Lonchura striata: one gene and its partner. The protein of the gene in region 1 interacts with the protein of each later gene in a pairwise test. Links are inferred from orthologs where the notes say so. Each region holds a gene or a part of one and is shown on either strand. Other genes may lie near its edges.

Region 1 (3,722 bases):
GGGGGCCAACACTGGGAATTGCCCCACAGAGCCAGGGCACCCCACGGAGCATCTTCCCAGCCCCACTTCCCACCAACCCCAGGTTTTGGGGGGTCTGTCCCCAGCATCCCCGGGTTTTGGGGGAGCTGTCCCCGTCATCCCCGGGTTTTGGGGAAGCTGTGCCCGCCATCCCCGGGTTTTGGGGGAGCTGTCCCCAGCATCCGCGGGCTTTGGGGGGGCTGTCCCCGCCATTCCCGGGTTTTGGGGGGGGCTGTCCCCGCCATCCCCGGGTTTTGGGGGGACTGTCCCCAGCATCCCCGGGTTTTGGGGGAGCTGTGCCCAGCATCCCCGGGTTTTGGGGGAGCTGTGCCCAGCATCCCCGGGTTTTGGGGGGGCTGTCCCCAGCATCCCCGGGTTTTGGGGGGGCTGTCCTCAGCATCCCCGGGTTTTGGGGAAGCTGTGCCCAGCATCCCCGGGTTTTGGGGAGGCTGTCCTCAGCATCCCCGGGTTTTGGGGGGGCTGTCCCCGCCATCCCCGGGTTTTGGGGGGGCTGTCCCCAGCATCCCCGGGTTTTGGGGAGCCTGTCCCCAGCATCCCCGGGTTTTGGGGGGGCTGTCCCCAGTATCCCCCCGTGTCCCCCGTGGGCTGGGCGGTGCCCCGGGGGGGGGATACCGCAGCCGTGACGTCACGGCGCTCAGCCAATGGGCGCGGGCCGTGGCGGGGTGGGGCAGGGGCGGCCCCGGTGGGGACCGGGGCTGCTCCGGGGGGTCCCGGTGCCCCCCGCTCTCCTCATGCAGGGCATGGGGAGCCTCCGGCTGGGCAGCCGCGCCGTCATGTACACGGCGGAGACCCTCCCCAAGGGCAAGAACCGCGTCATGGGGGTGAGTTTGGGGGGGTCGGGGGGGGAGTAACGCTTGGAAAATCCTCCCTCAGCCCGTTCCCGAGGGATTCCTGCTGATCCCTCGAGGGGTGCTGTGTATCCGGAGAGGCGCTGGGATTAAGGCATCCCACATCCCCAGGGTGGCTCTGTGGGCAGGGGGGTTGAGTTGACCCCGTTCCCACCCATCCCGCTCTTCCAGACCATCCAGATTATGACGGGATTCCTGCACATCGGCTTCGGGATCGTCCTGACCACGCTGACCAATGTCTACACCTCCGTCTTCGTCATCGGAGAGATCCCCTTCCTAGGCGGCGTGTCTGTACGTGCCGGGGGGCTGGGAAGGGATTCCCACCGGGAAAGACCGCCTGGGGTGGGAGGGGTTGCCCACCAGGAAGGGAATCGCACCAGGGAACAATGCCCACAGGGAAGGGAATTCTGCTGGGGGGGATGCCAGCAGGTGGGATGCCCATTGGAAGGGATGCTCACAGGGAATGATGCACTTGTGGCTCCCATGACCTCGGCAGCTGGGAATCAAGGGCAGGAGGGGTCAGTATGTCCCCTGTGCTACCTCTGGGCAGGTTTGGGGTGCCCTCAGCGCCAGCTGAGCCCCGTCTCTCCTGCTGCAGTTCATCATCTCCGGGTGCCTCTCCATCGGCGCTGAGAAGAGCCCCACGGAATGCGCGGTGAGTTTTCCCAGGAGCCCGCCGGGAGTGATCCCATGGGGGAGGTGGGGTGTCCCCCTGGTGCTTTGGGGGGGTCTGCCACCCTCCCCCCTCCCCAAAGCCCCCCGGGTGCCCACAGGTGAAGGGCAGCCAGACCATGAACGTCATCAGTGCGATCTTCGCGCTCCTGGGAATCGTAGCCTTCATCGTGGACCTCAACCTCAACGGGCTCTACCGCTCCAGCTTCAACTACTACAGCTATCTCGTCCTGGTAAAATCCCACTTGGTGGAATTCCTGCCCTTGGGAACCCTCCCACGGCCTTTTCTCCAGCCCTCAAGGGGTGTTGTGCCCTTTCCCAAATTCCTGTTGGGGTGGCGGTTTCTCCTCTGCCGGCACGACCTATTTTCGGCTGGTACCTTGGGAGATGAGTCACCCCCTGGATGCATCCATGAGCCATAAAAACGTGGCATGGAGGGCTTGGAGTGAGACCTTGGAGCCAGGGATGCAGAGGGAAAGGAAGGGGGAGCCACAGAATGCTGCCCTGTGTGGGGTTCATCCTCGTGGGCGCTGTTGGGGGGGTACTGACGGGGTTTTCCCCCTCCTGGAGCTCGCAGGGAATGGGATTTCCATCGTGCTGCTCATCTTCACCATCCTGGAATTCTGCATCGCCGTGGCCACTGCCAATTTCTGGTGCCGGGCCACCCGCCTCAGCTCCAACGAGGTAAGATGAGGGGGGTGGCAGGGATGGATCCCAAAAAGTGCATCCCGTGATCCCAGTGTCTGCCATAATCCTGGTGTTCCCCAGGCCATGCTGATTGTCCCCAGTGCCACCCGTGTGGATCTGGCCGTGCCACCGGCGGAGCTGCCTCAGCCTCCCAGCTACAGCGAGGTGATCCAAGCCTGGATAGGGGCGGAATCAGCTTTGGGATGGCTCCTGGGATGACAGTCCCCATCATGCTGCCATCGCTGTCCCCTCCCTGGGGAAACATCCCACCCCAATCCCCAGGGAGCATCCTGGAGCATCCATCCCTCTGCTCTGGGAATGGGGAGGAGATCCCAAACCTCCGTGGGTGGTGGGTGCTGAGCGTGGGGTCCCCCCAAATCCTGCCCCCTTTCCAAAACACCTCCTGGTCTCTTTGCAGCTAGCTGCTCCTGAAGTTTGACACCGAGGATGTTGGAATGGGATCCTGCCTCCATCACTCCTAAATCCCAGAGCTACGGCATCCTCCTCCCACTGTGCTGCCGGCTGGGATGCGCTGGTCCCCCCTCAAAAGCCAGGGACACCCCCAAATTCCCTGCCCCTCTGCCCCTGGGCCTGGTCTGAGGGGCTCCACTTGCTGGCTGCTGTGGGAAGGGCTTCTCCAAGGGGGAAATCTTGGGCAATTCCTGCCTGTCAATCCCTGGCGGGATGCTGGGGTTCGCTCATGTTGGGGTTCAGGAATTCCTGGTGGTTTGGAGTGACCCCGATGTGTGCTGGGAGCCGGGCAGGTCACCGGAGCATCTACCTCGGCTCGTCCCCTGTTGGCTTCATTTTCTCTTGGGAATAAACGCTCTCTCCGGGCTTGTGTCTCTTGAATTTGGGAATTTTCAGTGTGGGAGCTACACTTCCCCCCTCACAGAGCTGCTGCCCCTCAGGAAAGAGGCTCATCCTGCCTGATTTAGGGATACTTGCTCTCTCTTTCCTGATGGAATTCTGCCCGCCTTGAACTCCTGGTACCTGCTTGCTTTCCCTGAGAGGAATTCTGCTCCCCTAAACCCCTGGCACCATCTCCCAAGGGAGTTTTGCTCCTCTAAACTCCTGGTGCCTGCTCTCCTGAGGGAATTCTGCCCCTCTAATCCCCTCTCCTGCTGGAACTCCACTCTCTAAACCAGGGTACCTGGTCTCCCGAGGGAGCTGCGCTCCCCAAACCCCCTCCACCCCCCCATTCCAGCACGGTTCTGCTATCTTTAGCTCAGCCGGAGCAGCCGGACAGCTGGCGGCGATGCCGGTGACGCCAGCACATCCCGGTTCTTCCGCCACCGGAGAAGCTGCCCCGGGGCTGGAGCCGCTCTTGGAGGTGACACGGGGACACTGGTGTCATGTGCTCCCTGTTCCCACAATCCTGGGTGGTGGGAATGGTGCTGAGGGGCGCTCCCAAACCTTATCCATGCAGCAATGCCTAAAAATTTCTTTATTTTCAGGGAAGAAAAAGGGCTCTGG
Region 2 (3,743 bases), on another chromosome or scaffold:
AGAATGTGGATATTGGAGGCTTGGGGCCTGCGCCCAGTCCCTCCCCTTGCAAGTCCCTCCCCCAGGCAAGGCAGGAAATGTCCCACAGGCAAACCAACGTGTGCCAACAAAATCCCTCCTGTGATGAAGTGCAAAAGGACTTGCTGTTCCTGAGGCCTGCTGACAGAGCTGAGGCAGACACCTTGGGGCTTGCACACTGGGAAAGCCCTCATCCAGAAAAGGTGAATCTGGTGCTGCCAGGATCACTGGTAGTAGATGCTGAAGGCATGGAGGATGTACAGGAAGGTCGTGAGGAAGGCAAAGAACTGCATGAGAGAAAGAAGAGGAAGGGTCAGCTGGCAGAGTCAAACCCCATCTCCTCCCAGTGCTCTCAGCATGGGGAAGCCTCCCAGCATAGAGCTCCTTCCACCTCAAAGGAGAGGCAAAGCCTAAGTTTTCCCAGCATCCAGCCATGTCAGGCTGTCCGTGAACTGGTGGACCCTGAGAAACCAACGCTAACTGCACCATCCACAGAGCTGTGGAGCTGAAACTCTGCTTAGTTGGCACTGTGGGGCTTGGGGTGACTCTGCTGTGGCTTTAACACATGCTGTTGCCCTTCCAAGGGTGTGTGTCCTGCAGCTCGGCAGGGTGAACTCACCGATGCAGCGCTGTTGAGTTGGTAGTTGAGTGGTGCATTGTCGCCGAACTCAGAGTTGATGGTCGCATTGGCCTGCAGGACAGCGGCACTCATGTACAGAATGGCTGTGGTGCCATGGTACAAACTGTCCTGCAAAACAAGGCACCTGTGAGTGCCCCAAAGGAGGACAGGTGCCTGGATAGGCCTGGGACTGGACCCTCCCAGGCAGTGGTTTCACAGCAGAGCTCCCCTGGACTTTCCAGTCAAGGTAAAAGGAAGAAAGGGTCAGTGGGTCACCAGCCACGGGGTCATGCACCCACGTTGCTGCTGCCGTCTGCGTGTTCCATCCCCTCCTTACCAGCACTTTCCAGTTCTCGCTGTTCCTGTGGAAGCCGAGGAGGTAGCTTAAGAGGAGCAGCAGGGAGATGAGGCAGGAGGTGAGGGACACGTACATCACCCATCCCTGCAGCAATGGCAAGGAGACTGAGGTAGCAGCGATGAGGATCCACACCCAGGTCCCACAGAGCTGCCAGGGACAATCAAGTGCCTCTGATGAGTGTGGAATGAGGAAAAGCCCTTTCCCTCCCCAGTTCCCTCCTCGCCTCCCTCCTGGGCCAGCTGCAGCAGCCAGCAGAACCCCTGCATCTTTCCCAGAGCATCCCAGTGCTCTGGGAAACAAGCAAGCAAGTTGGCACTGGTTTCCCTGAAAACTCATGGGAAATGAGTGTTCACACAAAAAGGAAGGGTTTGCTGCCGCCTTCCACACAAGGAAATGTCTCACCCCGAGAGATTTGGTGGAGAAGCCAGAAAATGTGCTTTTATCTGGGAAAAGTGAGCAAGTTGCCTCAACCCAGCCCTGCCCGCTCATTAATCTCTGGGGCTTGGAATTGCAGCACAAGGAAGTCTCCTCTTAGCTCCATGCACCAGCCTGGAGCGATCCACCCAAAATATTTACTCACTACAAAAAGCCTATGGAGTTATTGGGATGAGCCTGTGCCATCCCAACTGTGGTGGGTGAAAGCCCTGGAATTGCAGCAGGGAGCTGAGCCAGCCACCACGGGGAAGGATTGTGCCTGTGGAGCACAGGGTGTGTGAATTGCCAGCACCATGACAAAGTACACCAGCTAAAATCTTGGCTGGTCCCCTGGATGCCCTCTGTACCCAGAAGCAATTGAAAGAATCATGGAATGTCATCACACATTAGCAGACGCCCAATTGCCTTCAACCCCTAGACCGATTTGATACAGAGAGCAAAATTCCCTTGATTTTCAAGCCATTTCTACAAGCTAACAAGAGCTGCTTCATGATAACAAGAGCTGCTAGTCTGCCCTGGATGAACCATCAGCTCTTCAGCCTCTCCCAGCCCCACGGCAGCCAGTGACCCTCACACAGGCTGTGATGGAGCTGAGTGTACCTTGTCCTCAAGCTGTTCCTAAAAACCTCGTCAGGAATACTTTGTGCATTCAGCATAAGCTCCAAGACAAGATGTCACTTTCCAGTAACGATGCCTTCAGGATGGTTTCAGGGGATTTTTAGCCAGGAGTGGGTTCCATGAGGCAGCGGAGCGAGGCATACTCACGATCTCCGGCAGGATGAAGGCGTAGGGGATGGTTTTGAAGACGGCGGGTCCGGAGGGCAGAGCGGGCTGCGTGGGGGCTGCGGAGGGACCCACCGAGGCCATCTCTCCTCCGCTGACACCGCTCCGCTCGGCTCCGCTGGCGCTTGCCTGTCCCGTGCCGCTCCCATGCGGGATTTAAGGGACACGCCCGCGGGACGTAAGCACAGGAACCGGCCGGGGCTGGCACCGCGCCGCTGCCCCAGCCCGACGAGCCCCTGGCACCCCTGCGACTGCGGCGGCTTTGGGCATCCCGCTGCCAACCGGGATGGGACAGAGCGGGACCCCGGCCCCACCACGCACCAATGCGAGGTCATTAACTGGAGGGGGAAGGAAAAAAACTTCCTACACCTTGACGGAACATAAATGTTTCCTGCAAACGATTCTCTTGGCACGCTTCCAATCCTGAAATATTTTTGCTTCCACTGTTGTTGCCTCCTCCCCTTTCTGTTCAGGTTTCTGCTCCACGGTCACGCCAGACCCTTCCACACCCTCCAGGCACATCCAACCTTCAGAAACTAGCAGGTAAATTTTTACAAACACACCAGAAGGGTTTGGCAATGTGCTCCCGATAGCCCAGTGAGGTTTGAAGGGGAGCGGCAGGAATTTCTGCCTCCTGGCAAATGCAGTTTGGATTCGGGAAGCACTTGCTGTCTCATCCAGTGCACTCTGCCTGGCCCCAGAACTCCCAGAAAAGGGGTGGGATGAAGGGCTGGGGGTGGCACTTCTGCCTGGTGGCCCAGAGAGGACAGAATGAACCCATTAACCCGGGCAACGGGCTACAGCAGGAGGAAGACACTGTCACAGTGAGTTATTCCAGCTCTGCTAGGCAAGACAGGTGATGCCCCAGGAACTCGGCTTCTATGCCAAGCTCTTGCACAACACAGAGCAAAGATCAAATCCATGTCTCTGAGCACTTCCTAGGCTGGGGGAAGTGTTCTGTGGTATTCCTGGAGGCTCCTGTTTACAAATACTCCAGTGGGAGCTGGCTTTGGCTCCATGCAGTGGAGGTTTTCAAAAATCTTGTTTCAAATCTCGCCAGACAAAACTGAGCCTGGCCTGGGCTTAAATCCAGGTGTGATTCAGTGGTAAGGTCCCCATCACCCTGCAGGAAGCATCCAGATGGTCCAGCACTAAAGAGAAAGTGGATTGATCACTTCCCCATGGGCAGCACACAGAGCCTGTGGTCACAAGGTGCTCAGGGGTCAGCAGAGGAAATAATCCTGGGGAACACAGCATTCCCAGGATTCCCACCAGCTGCTATTTGTGTTGGGTCAGGTACATTCCTGGGAGTAACCCAGCCTTCTGAGTGGGGGAGAAGAACAGGCAAACAATCTAAAAATGGAGCAACGTACTGGTCACTGGTTGGACAAGAGAGGATTCTTCCCTTAAGCTGGCTGCCCTTCTTGTTCAGCAGCATTCTTAAAGACGATGCTCCTTCCCTTCCCTGCTCCCAGGCTGCTGGGGGACTGGGACAAAAAGCCTTTTGTTCACACTCATTAAAATAACACT

The links. The genes of interacting proteins can lie anywhere in the genome.
Region 2: the proteins of membrane-spanning 4-domains subfamily A member 12 (region 1) and MALL interact in binary tests that used the Homo sapiens proteins (3 or more experiments, as listed by UniProt). The two-hybrid records come from large-scale screens. The link is inferred for Lonchura striata from reciprocal best matches to the Homo sapiens genes MS4A12 and MALL.

What each region holds. Positions count from the first base shown.
Region 1 is NC_134608.1:53,779,021-53,782,742, reverse strand, and holds membrane-spanning 4-domains subfamily A member 12, read left to right. Parts: upstream 1-704; 5' UTR 705-770; coding exon 771-860; intron 861-1,058; coding exon 1,059-1,178; intron 1,179-1,485; coding exon 1,486-1,542; intron 1,543-1,660; coding exon 1,661-1,792; intron 1,793-2,129; coding exon 2,130-2,243; intron 2,244-2,327; coding exon 2,328-2,411; intron 2,412-2,664; coding exon 2,665-2,685; 3' UTR 2,686-3,083; downstream 3,084-3,722. Other genes in the region: membrane-spanning 4-domains subfamily A member 15-like, read left to right, coding at 3,505-3,579. UniProt on the Homo sapiens protein: May be involved in signal transduction as a component of a multimeric receptor complex.
Region 2 is NC_134605.1:27,654,696-27,658,438, forward strand, and holds the start of MALL (MAL-like protein), read right to left. Parts: upstream 2,307-3,743; 5' UTR 2,298-2,306; coding exon 2,196-2,297; intron 1,143-2,195; coding exon 975-1,142; intron 767-974; coding exon 638-766; intron 306-637; coding exon 243-305; 3' UTR 1-242.